Drosophila melanogaster: one gene and its partner. The gene in region 1 interacts genetically with each later gene. Each region holds a gene or a part of one and is shown in the gene's direction. Other genes may lie near its edges.

Evidence for each region. A genetic interaction does not mean that the proteins touch.
Region 2: of SREBP (region 1) and S2P, changing one enhances a phenotype caused by changing the other (phenotypic enhancement), as found in Drosophila melanogaster (one study listed by BioGRID).

What each region holds. Positions count from the first base shown.
Region 1 is NT_037436.4:19,792,135-19,799,550, forward strand, and holds SREBP (sterol regulatory element binding protein), read left to right. Parts: upstream 1-1,800; 5' UTR 1,801-2,025; intron 2,026-2,089; exon of another isoform or gene 2,090-2,191; intron 2,192-2,429; 5' UTR 2,430-2,565; intron 2,566-2,764; exon of another isoform or gene 2,765-2,767; 5' UTR 2,768-2,775; coding exon 2,776-4,258; intron 4,259-4,318; coding exon 4,319-5,124; intron 5,125-5,193; coding exon 5,194-5,585; intron 5,586-5,645; coding exon 5,646-5,772; intron 5,773-5,826; exon of another isoform or gene 5,827-5,925; intron 5,926-5,998; coding exon 5,999-6,166; intron 6,167-6,239; coding exon 6,240-6,605; 3' UTR 6,606-6,845; downstream 6,846-7,416. Other genes in the region: Ir76a (ionotropic receptor 76a), read left to right, coding at 7,144-7,198, 7,250-7,416.
Region 2 is NT_033778.4:11,841,603-11,845,897, reverse strand, and holds S2P (site-2 protease), read left to right. Parts: upstream 1-1,657; 5' UTR 1,658-1,944; coding exon 1,945-2,019; intron 2,020-2,070; coding exon 2,071-2,508; intron 2,509-2,575; coding exon 2,576-3,589; 3' UTR 3,590-3,795; downstream 3,796-4,295. Other genes in the region: CG43190 (uncharacterized protein), read right to left, coding at 982-1,173, 1,232-1,384; CG34229 (uncharacterized protein), read right to left, coding at 3,819-4,052, 4,136-4,174.

The sequences.
Region 1 (7,416 bases):
CAAAGTCCAAACGGAAAATGTAATTTATGCAGAAAGCCGGAGAAACAGAAGCACAGAGAGTATGAGAACAGTCAGAAGAAGAAATAGAAAAATCGGACCAAATCTACAACAACAGCTTGTTGGATGACTCAATATTGCAGTGAAATAAAGGCTCTTTTGTATCAAGGAAAATAGGAAATGATTAATACAGGAATATTTCCAAGTTGCAAGACAGTTGGTAAATAACAGAGTCATAATCACAGCGTTCGGTAATATATTTAGTTTAACATTAGGTTAAACTAATTTTAGTTATTTTATATTTAGTTTAACATTAGGTTAAACTAATTTATTGAATAAATAAAGTCTGTATATTTGGATTTGAAGCATATCCATATATTACCGAGAATAATAAAATTATGCTGCATCATACATACAATCGGATTTATAAAGATTTTGATAAGCTAAGGTGAAGTAGAAATATAAAAAATAGGATTTAGTAGTGAAATAGTCCTCTTAAGATACTTTTCCTGATGACCGTTGGTTGAATGTTTTCAGTTTAATTTAAATAATAGGCATTTGATATAAATAAGCTTCGTCTATATTGAAAACAATACACCTACACTTAAGGCAACCAAATTTGCAGTTAGTATTTCCAATTGGCGACCGTAAAGGTAAACAAAAATGTAAACTGTTGCAGACAGCAAATGCGGTAAATCGCAAAAATCGTAAATAAATCCTAAGATTGTGCCAAAATAAAACCGTTTTAAAGGTTATTCATAGTAGCAAGTGCAAGTTTGTCGGTCGAAAATGGCAACCCTGGCGAGACAGAGCGAACAAGTGTGAGCAAGAGCATCAGAGAGAGGGCAGAGGAGATCAGTTGTTGTGATAATGCAACGGGTGAAGAAAACAAATGCAAAAAGTTTCTGCGTGTGAGCGCGAAAGTGCGTGAGCGGCGGTCCAAACAAAAACAAAAGCGCGAAGCAAAAATGGTTTTCTTTTTGTTTCAGTTTATGTTCCTATTGTTGTTGGTTGGTAGGTTTTTTTGCTTTTCCAACGACGTGACAAGTGCAAAGAGCGCCAAATTGTACATTTTTATGCATGGGCCGCCAGTGCATTGTGAAACTTTTCCGACTTTGCCTTTATGGCTGTGCATTTGTTTTATCACTGCAGCACTTTTGCCATTGCGATCGTGTGGGTGCCGCTACTTTGTGTGTGTGCATTTGTGTCTGCGTTTTCGAAAGAGCAATTCAGAACGCAATTAACACTGACGGCGCCCATGCTGGTTATCAATTAAATCACATATTCACTTTGTACCATTTTACTAAAAACGAATAAAGAACCTCATCATGTTGCTCTTTCCAAACGGTTATTTCGAATTTACCGCTTCTCTGGCTCCGCGATTCGTCCGCGTTTCCCGTTTTCCGTCGCGACTACCTACCCGATTTTGAATATGTGATGTAGCAGTGTGGCCAGTGCGTTGTGCCAATTTACCGGAACTTTTTGTCTTCAACATTCCTTGGTATTTTTAAGTAATTCTAGCGCGGTCACACGGCTCTGGCGCTCTCTTAATTATTCTCTTGAATGTAGGTAGCGGTGACATCCACCACGCTCAGCGAGGACAACCGCATATTTTAAATTACACTTATACATGTTGAATTTATTTCCTTACTCTGCGTGTCAGAATCAGCGTTGATATTTTATGGCAGTTTTATAAAATACATCATAAACTATTAAATATATATATTTCTATACAGGCATTGTAAGTAATACAGCTGTTTCTTGATGCCAGGGAGTCAAGACCTGAACCAGTTCCTTAGGCCCGAACTACTGCTCGTCATCCCTGAAGAACAAAGTTTACTGCAATCGAAAGCAATTGTTTATTAAGCTGCAAATATACTCGTGAAAAAAATCAAAACAACCATGAACAACAAGTGTTGCAACTATTACTAACTAGTCGCTAGTTTAAAGCAAAGTGCGTTGACATTAACCAGTTATGGAAAAACAAAAGCACACGTGAACTAAGAAAACAGATAGAAGGTGGTAAAGGTGCGTTTCTTTTTCTGCTAATAATGTAGATAGTGTCTAATAGATTAATTTTCGCGGAAATCAGATCGGGAAACCAGTGGAGCCTGGGAAAATGCCCTGTTGGAGCTCCCAAAGGCCAAGTGGCGTCACTAAAAACATCGTATGATCCGGTCGAGCCCTCTGATTGGTTGAAAGCGCTTACGCATGCTTTCCCGGTCGCGTATGTGTGTGTGCAGTGCACAGTGGGCCAAAAGCGAAGTAAAAGCTTAGACCGTTTAAAAATATTCGCCTCTATTGCAATTTGCATTAGTCTAGCAAAACTTGATATAGCCAAAATGATCTCAAGATATTATATTTTGTTCCTATTTTAACTACGAGCAAACAACAAACAAACAAAAACAAGTTAACACATATGCCATTTTCAGGTCCGACTGTGATTCACTTTAGGTTTGAGTACAATTAAAAGATTTATTTTAACTTTGTTACGTATATTACAAATTTAATTATAAAAACCCCTTTTAATCTGTTATTAAAGCTGCAAGTGGCCACTGTGGAAAAAGGGTAATTAAATGAATTAATGTGATTATAAACATATTAATATTTGTTTTTTCCGGCACCAACATACTTGTCCCACTGTTGTTATTGCGCCGCATAGAACTTTAATAAACAATCCTCAAATGTACAAACATACATACATAAATATGCACATACGTGGGCCCGCCAGTATTTAATTACGAACCGTTTTTGTCCCTTTCATCAGCAGCATTCGCAATGGACACGACACTGATGAACTTAATAGACGCTCCGCTGGACGAGTCCATGGATTTGTTCAAAGCGGAGGATGTCTTCGAACCGTTCGACGCCGACCTGCACTCGGACATGCTGGACATCATCCTCAACGACATGGACCTGGCGCCGACGCAGATGTACAACATGCTGCTGGACGAGCCTCGAACGCATACCCAGCAGACGCAGTCCGTGGATCAGCAGCCGCAATCCGTCGAGCAACAGCCGCACGTGAAAAGCGAGCACTCTTCGCCAGTGCACATCAAGGAGGAACTGCATCAGCAGCAACAACAGTCGCCGCTTCTCGTCTACAAACCAGATCCCCTCATAGCCACAAGCTACAATTGTCCCCAGCAACAGCCGACGGGCCTTTTGAAGGCCGCCCAACCAACAGCCACCATACATCACATGGACGCCCAGCGGATGCCGCCGAACACGGCGGTGTATCCCCCATCTCTGGGCAGTAGCTTTGTCTACCAGTCCATGTCCCCGCCCACGTCGCCGGTGGAGTCTGCGAACCAGAATGTCAATGTCATGCAGCCCGTTGCTGCAACTCCTGCTCCCGCTTCTGCTCCTTTGCCCCAGCAGTCGTATCCGCAACCCTTCATTACGTACAACTCTAAGGCCGGAATGACTTCCGATGAAGCCATGTACTTCCTCTTGCAGCCCACGGTAGCCAGTCCAACCCCATCTCCACCTGTGGCTCCACCACCGACAAGCACAGGTAGTCGGGCCAGCAAGGTGCGAGTGGCACCACTGGCTCCGTCACCTGCCGCTATGGAAGTCCAGGGCAAGGTACCTATCAACCGGGTTCAACCCAAGGTGAAGGAAGTAAAGCGCTCGGCCCACAACGCCATCGAGCGGCGCTATCGCACCTCAATCAACGACAAGATTAACGAGTTGAAGAACTTGGTAGTGGGAGAGCAGGCCAAGCTGAACAAGTCCGCAGTGTTGCGGAAATCCATAGACAAGATTCGGGATCTGCAACGCCAGAATCACGATCTGAAGGCAGAGTTGCAGCGCCTGCAGAGGGAGCTAATGGCACGCGACGGCTCCAAGGTGAAGGATTTACTTCAGCTGGGCACTCGGCCTGGTAGAGCATCCAAGAAGCGCCGCGAGAGCTCGCAGACCTTTACCACGGATGCCGGACTGACGCCGCCACGCAGCGATGAATCGGATCCTTCGCTCTCGCCCATGCACTCGGACATCTCGTTGCCGCCATCACCCTATGGTGGATCCACCGCCAGCTGTAGCAGTGGCAGCAGCAGCAGCAATGAAGAACCACTGGTGGTGCCCAGCTCTATGCGCGGCATGGCCACCCACTCTCGCCTCGGACTCTGCATGTTTATGTTCGCCATCCTGGCCGTCAATCCCTTCAAGACCTTTCTCCAGCGCGGCCACTATGACAGTAATGACGATCTTGGCGACATGAGCGGTCAAAGACGCATTCTCTCTTACGACGTGGAAGGTAGCTAGCCTAGCATCCAGATGTTGTTAAATATTGCTAATGGGTTTCTCCTTGATTTAGGTGAAGGTTTTGCTGTCTGGCAGCAGAGTTCCTGGATATGGCTATTGAACTTCACACTGATGCTTGGATGCTTGGTGAAATTGCTGGTTTACGGTGATCCGCAGCTGGACGCGCAAACGGACGCCTACTGCCAGCACAGGCAGCGGGCTGACTTCTATTTTAGCCAAGGACAGTCGTCTCAGGCCTACGCCGGTTACCTCAACTGTCTGCATATGTTTGGATTAAGTCTACCGGCGTCGCGCTTGGAGTGTTACTTGCAGACCACGTGGCAGTTCCTTCGTTTTCTTTTCCATCGCCTCTGGCTGGGTCGGGTGCTGTCACGGCGGTCCGGTGGGCTGTTTAGCAACGCCGCCAGCAGGAAACAGGCGCTGGCATCTGCACGCGAACTGGCCCTGCTCTTCAACCGACTGAATCAATTGCAACTGACTGGAAATGGAAGCCGCGGTGACATGAACGGCATTATGATGGCACTATTCGCAAGCAACATGGCTGAAGTGGCGCACAATCTACTGACACCGCGCGAGACCATCTGCATCCACGTAATGACAGCGTTGCGAATGAAGCGCAGTGCCCCAAAATGGTTGCAACAGCTCTTCGCCCGATACTACATGAGCCGGGCTCGTCAAGAGTGCGGTCTCACTAGGGCCACCGAGCAAACGCAGGAGCTACGTTGGGCATTCACAGCCTATGGATATCGCTACTGCGCCACGCACGTCTTCACGTACGATCTGAGCGACTCCGGCGAGCAGGATGGATTCTTCACACGTCTTAGGAATCCATGTGATCCCGCTGCCCACGTCATTAAGGTAAGTTGGACTGAATTTCTAGTGTATCGCACACAATTCAAAACTAATTGTTTCTTTTCCAATAATCAGCAATATCGAGAGCATTTGCTGTTTAAAGCCATTCAGTGTCTGGTAGGAGCGGGCCACAAATCGGGAGGCCTGCCCACATCTTCTGTCAGCGGAGAGGCGGAACAGTTGCAGCAACAGCAGCACAGCGGCACCATTGTCAGCAATGTTCTTAAGTACACGTCCCTCCTTAAGGACACTCTCTGGGCTGATGAGGATGAGCGGGATACAAACGTGGTGTGGTGGGCCGATGTTTTGGAGACCGCAGTGCACTGGCTCCTTGGTGAAGACACGCTGGCCGAGCAATTGTACGGCAGGATCAAGCAAATGCCCACGCAGCTGCAACAGTGCGGCGAAAACGATCATCTGCCCAAGGCGCTGCATGCTGTGCTGCGAGCTAAGATGATCTTACTAAAGTGAGTAAAACTAGAACAACTAATGAAAAGAACAAAACTAATCATCGCACACCTTTGCAGAAACAATGGCAACGCACTGGACAAAAGTCTCAAGCAATTGGTAAACATCCTCTGCGATGAGTCGAGTGTGGAGCTCCAAGAGTGCTTGACTGTCAACCGGATCACCGACGCCAAGGGTATAAAGCTGGTAAGAATGTGTGCACCCCGAACAATCAGTTTTTGGCGACTGAGTGCCACCAGACTCTTCCTCTGGAGATGACACGAAGGTGCATTGTAGTCGCATTGTCTGTCCCAATTGCTTCAGGCAATACAACTTCAGTGCAAGCTCTGTGCATTTCACATACAACGCCGAATGTCTCTGGCAAAAGTCGCCAAGTTTTAAGAGCGCACTAATCATTATTTCTTCTATGCAGCTTTTCCAGTTGCTTACCTGCGATTGGCTGCTCGAAACTAGGACTGCTCTGTGGGAACTGGAACACATGAATATGGAGGACGATGGCTTCTACCAAGTGCCAGGTGAAGTGCTCGAGAAGTTCCAGACCGATTTGAACTCGTTGCGCAACATTGTGGAGAATATACCGGTATATGCAAATCCTTACCCTTCCAATATGTCTGTTCCGTAACCTGAGCTTGTGTAAACTTTTGCCATTACAGAACGCCCAATCGCGCATATATTTGTACGAGGCAGTTTGTCGCCTGATGGCTGGAGCCTCACCGTGTCCAACGCAACAGCTCTTGGACAGGAGTCTGCGATCACGCAACGCCCACTCGTCCATCTTCTGCGGCAGCAAGGATCGGCGGCAGCAGAACTTCGTGGGCGGAGAGCGGGAACGGGCTTCGGCCATGTACGTGGCCTGCAAGTATCTCCCGCCTGCGCTGCTCAGCTCCCCGGGTGAACGTGCTGGCATGTTAGCCGAGGCGGCCAAGACCCTGGAGAAGGTGGGCGACAAGCGAAAGCTCAAGGAGTGCTACCAGCTGATGAAGTCGCTGGGCAACGGCATTGGCAGCGTGAAGGCTTAGGATAGTAGTGAAGTACATAATAAGTGGCACGAACGTGGTGTGGATTTTCAGCAAATGAATACCCGTTTGCTATTCAAAAGAATTACAAATGCCTAGGTCTTTATAATTACGCTATTCCTCTGTTTTCCACGCCCGGTTATGCTTAGATTGTAATTTTAAAATTATTTAATATGGACATTTTATTTGTTTATTATTTACCGTACTTGTTAAACGTATTTATAACAATAAATATTTTAACAGATTTACAAGGCCTTTTATTGGTTACCGGTGCATGCTCCTAATTTGTTAAATATGTACATAATTCATGGAAAACGTATTAGTAGCGTATGCAATCTTTTTCCTTATATAAAATGAAATATTCTTCCATTCGCGTCGGTCATTTTGCGTCGGCGGAGTTTTGTTAGTCGGGTGCATCACAGGGTGAGCTACCAAGCACTATATATATATATACAAAAACAGAATGTATATGTATAATAATAATACACACAGAAAATAATATAAATTCCTCAGGCACACTTCAAGGGAAAAAATCTGTGAAATGGAAAACTTGCTGGTAGAGTCATATTACTTTAGCACTGTGCTTAGTTTTTTTGGTATGTTGTCCTTTTGTTCAGCATGGACAACCTTTTAAAAAATATAGTTAGCTCAGCAGTTCTTCGCGGACTCGCATGCCACTTGTATTTTTTGGCACCCGGCGTTTGATTTTCGTCTGGAAACGGTTCATCCAATGCCATTAATAATCATGGACTGGCACAGATGGGCCAATCGTTCCGATCAAGATGTTTATGATTACAAAATAAAGGAGGATGAG
Region 2 (4,295 bases), on another chromosome or scaffold:
ACTCTCTTGCTACTGCTGCTTCTGCCGGAACGGCTCCTTTGGCACTGAATCCTTTGCGGGTTCGTCTTGATGGTTTGTTCTCCGAATCGATTGCGATTTTCGTTCGCTTTTTCTTGAGGGCTTCCTTGAGGAACTTGTATGGGTTTTCCTAGGGGCAATATCCTTGCTGCTCTGGCGTCATGATGCGTTGATGTGACACACAGTATTCCCTGTTACTATTGTTTATGCAGCAGCTGTTTCCGCTTCCGCTTCCTTGTCGCCCCCTTCCGTATCCGTTTTCGGCACAAGCGCACTCTCTCACTCACTCGCTGGCGAATATGCAGTTTTTGGAACAAATCGATATGGGGCGAGATTCCAGCTGAAGTCCTTTGTTCTTAGCTTACTCAATCACAATCGAACGAATTGGATCCTTCCAGTGAGTTAAATTGGTTAAAAATACGCCTGAAGCTATTGAACACTTTCTCTGATTGGGAAAACCCTTTGCAAAAGCCTTTTTATTTTTCGTGAGTACTCTTCGTTTGTTGCCCTTTTTGGCGGATGCGACTGTTCTGCTGCTGCTCAAGCTCACGACTAAACTGATGATACTCATGTCCTCTGGAGGTCCATTGAAAACCCAACTCAGTTAAGGTGAACTTGGTGGTGGTGAGTTTCGGCATGGAAAAAGGAAAAACAAGAGTAAGAGGTCCTCTCTTCCTTTCCATTGGTTTTCATCCGTTTTGTTTTGCTAGGTTCTTTTGGCCGCCTGTTGCCAGAACCACCTACTTTTATTTCTGAAAACAGCTGATGAATGAATTACGAATTGCCTTACGAATTAAAGTCACACAAATTTAACAAATGTAACTTTACAATTTCTCATGCTAGATTTTCATATACCTATAATTTTTCAATTTTAATCAAAGTAGGTGTATTCGTTGCTCTTGATTACTGCACGGCAAATTTATAATATAAATCCAAAACTAAACGAGAACACTTTGCATTGCTCTATAGAGAAGTGCGTAGTTCTTCCAGGCTTTTGGTCATGTTCAACGCCACTCCAAGAAATATAAAGCTGATGGCCACAGATGAGAAAACGGCAGCCGGTAGGTTCTTGAGTAGCCACTGCAGGATCATCGTGTAGACGGCAATGGCCATGAGCAGCATGCACATGTATGGATAGGCCAGCCATTTAATGAACTGCAAAATCACAGGATTCTTAAGAATATTTCCTCAATTAATTTTGCTTCAGGTTAACCTTCCAAACTGCAATAATCAACAGGAGCGAGGATAATGCATAGAGAGCCGATCCGGTGGTCCACACAATCTTTACCGCTTCAGAGACACCTGATAAACTGGTCATGAAAAGATAGCCGGCAGCCACGCCCGATATACAGGATACGCAGGCCATAATGGAGACGATCAGCCTGCAAGTCGGCAAAAGTCTCTTATATGAGAATTCCTGTTCGCTCATGTGTTTGATGTATTTTAAGTCACTTAACACAATGGATTTTGAATTTTTTTATATTGAAAGCAAATCATTTTCATAAAAAAATTTTAATTGTTGTTTTTGAGTTGTTCAACAGTTTTCTTTGTTTGACGTTGAATAGTTGAAAATGTTCAAAACTTTCGCGCCCAAATAAGCTTGCTTATCGGTATTATTGATAAAGCGGCCATCGATAAGTTCTGCAATCGATTGCGATTAGCTTTTGGTATTTCGATTTTTTACGCAGGTTAATTTGCGCACAAGATTCCCAGACGTGATTAATGCTGATTTCTGGTCTGGACTACACAGCATTGCTGGTATAAGGAGTCGGGACCAGAGGAGTAAGATTTCGGGAAGGAATCCCGTCCGGTAGGGACTACTAGCATTCGCAAGTGACGTCCAGCAACCGGAGGACCCCCAACTGTAGAATCCGCATCACCATCCTAATCCCAACAAACCAATGACATCTTGAGACCTCACCAGCCATGGATCCCTTCGTGTTCTTCATAGTACTGGCATCGCTTTATGGCGTTCTTTACTTTTTCGACCGCTTCTTCAAGGTGTAGTATATCCAGCCAAAGTACGTCCAGATACTTAATGTAATCCCTTAGAGTTGCATGCACTACCCGTACGATGCCTTCCTCAAGAACACCGGGCTGAGTATAAATTTCATGAGCCTCCACTGGCACACGAGTGCCTTTAACAGGACCCTCCTACGCTGGGGATCTGCCGGTAACAGCTGCACCCGGAGAGTAATGATCACCAGCTTTAATGTAGGAGTCCTGGTCACCTTTTCTCTGCTCCCGATCGGTCTGATCCTGCTCATTGCCACTATCTTCAGCAGTGGTGAACAAGACAGCTCTTCGTCTGTATCCTCGCCCGTTGGAGTCCCTGTGCAGCTGGAAATTCTACTGCCCGGCGTCAACTTGCCGTTGGAGGAGATCGGATACTACATCACAACCCTTGTGCTCTGCTTGGTGGTGCACGAGATGGGACACGCCCTGGCCGCTGTGATGGAGGATGTGCCTGTCACCGGGTTTGGAATAAAGGTTAGAATGATATAGCGTACTTTACAACCTAATACGCTTACTAATTAGGTAAATATTAATATTTCAGTTCATCTTCTGCCTGCCGTTAGCATACACGGAGCTCTCCCACGACCACTTAAACAGTCTACGTTGGTTCCGCAAGCTACGTGTTCTGTGCGCTGGAATCTGGCATAATTTTGTGTTCGCTGGCGTGTGCTATCTCTTAATCTCAACGGTGGGAATCACTATGTCACCTTTGTACGCTTACAACCAACACGTAGTGGTCACTGAACTAACAAGGAAATCCCCGCTGAGGGGAGAGCGCGGCTTGCAAGTGGACAATCAAATAACCCAAGTAAACGGCTGCCCAGTAAACAGCGAGGAGAGTTGGGTGACATGCCTGCAGAACTCTCTGAAGCTCAAGCCGGGCTACTGTGTGAGTGCGGACTTCGTGCAGCTTAACGACGAAAGCAGCGCCATCTCACATCATAGCATTGATGGTCAGCTACAGTGCTGTGATGAACTAAATCCGAACGTAAGCTGCTTCGAGGTGGTGGAGGACGCAAATGGAGATGTGCCGGTGGAGCTGCCGCAGCATGTATGTCTCAATGTGCGCCGCACTTTGGAGGAGGTCTCCGAGCACTGCTCGTCCGGAGTTTGCAACGAGGGATTCTGCCTACGACCGCTTATACGAAATATCACTGCCATAATGACGTTCAAGCGACAGAATTTTCGCGGAGAGAAGCTGCCGCCGGTGATCTATGTGGGCCATCCATGGGATGTCACTCGAACTGTGGAGGTATCCGCCTTTGTGCCGAGATATAGCTTATTAAAGGCAGCCTGGCCGGATGCCTGGCTGCTGCTCCTCAAGTATAACGTGGTCTTCAGCATAGGATTGGCGTTGATCAATGCCATTCCCTGCTTTGGTTTCGATGGCGCCCACATTACCAGCACCGTGATACACAGCTTCTTGGTGGGCAGAGTGGATCAGCATGCCAAGAGAGATATCATCTCGTTGATAATCACCAGCGTGGGTTCCCTTCTCTTTGCACTGGCCCTGCTTAAGGTGGCCTGGTTGAGTTTTCTGCGACCCCTGCTTTAAGAACTGAAATGGAAAACTGAAATGGATCCTGGGAGTTCAACTCCCTGCAAAGACGCTAGACTGCTATTTCACCTTCACGAAACACACAAAAACACAGCGAATTGTAGCACCTCAAAGATTCGATAGCTTTTTGTCATAGTCCTTAGTCTTAACTCGTATTTATTTTCGTACGGTTGTCGAGCTCAAAAATAAAATCAAATTAAGCTAAGATTTATGTTCAAGACTGATCCTATTTGCCCTCGCTCACCCCGCTCAGTTGGAGGCTGGTCCTTAGTTCTGTGAGGCTGCGTCTGCCGTGCTGAAGGAGCATCTTGATGGCCACCTCGTCACTTTGATGGCGATTCGTCTGGAAGTCATGCCGTGCCCAGGATTTTAGCTCCAGCTGGCTGTTTTTGTCGGGAACCTGACGAATCGTTCGAAATATTTCCCGGTAGAGCTTCAGTACTTCCTGGCGCAGCATAAACTACAATGTAATCAATTCATTCAATTATTGTTAGTTTTATTAATATATTTGGAAAACCATAAAAATGATTTAAACCTGCTTACCTGCTTCAAACTAAGTGATGCTTTTGGTAACTTGGACATTTCTGCTTAATTGTTTTTTTTTCTTTATATTTTCTAGTTGAATTATTATTATTAGTTATTCTTTTAGTTTTCAAGTTATTCTGTCATTTTAAAAATTATTTGTAATTAGTCAAGAAAAATC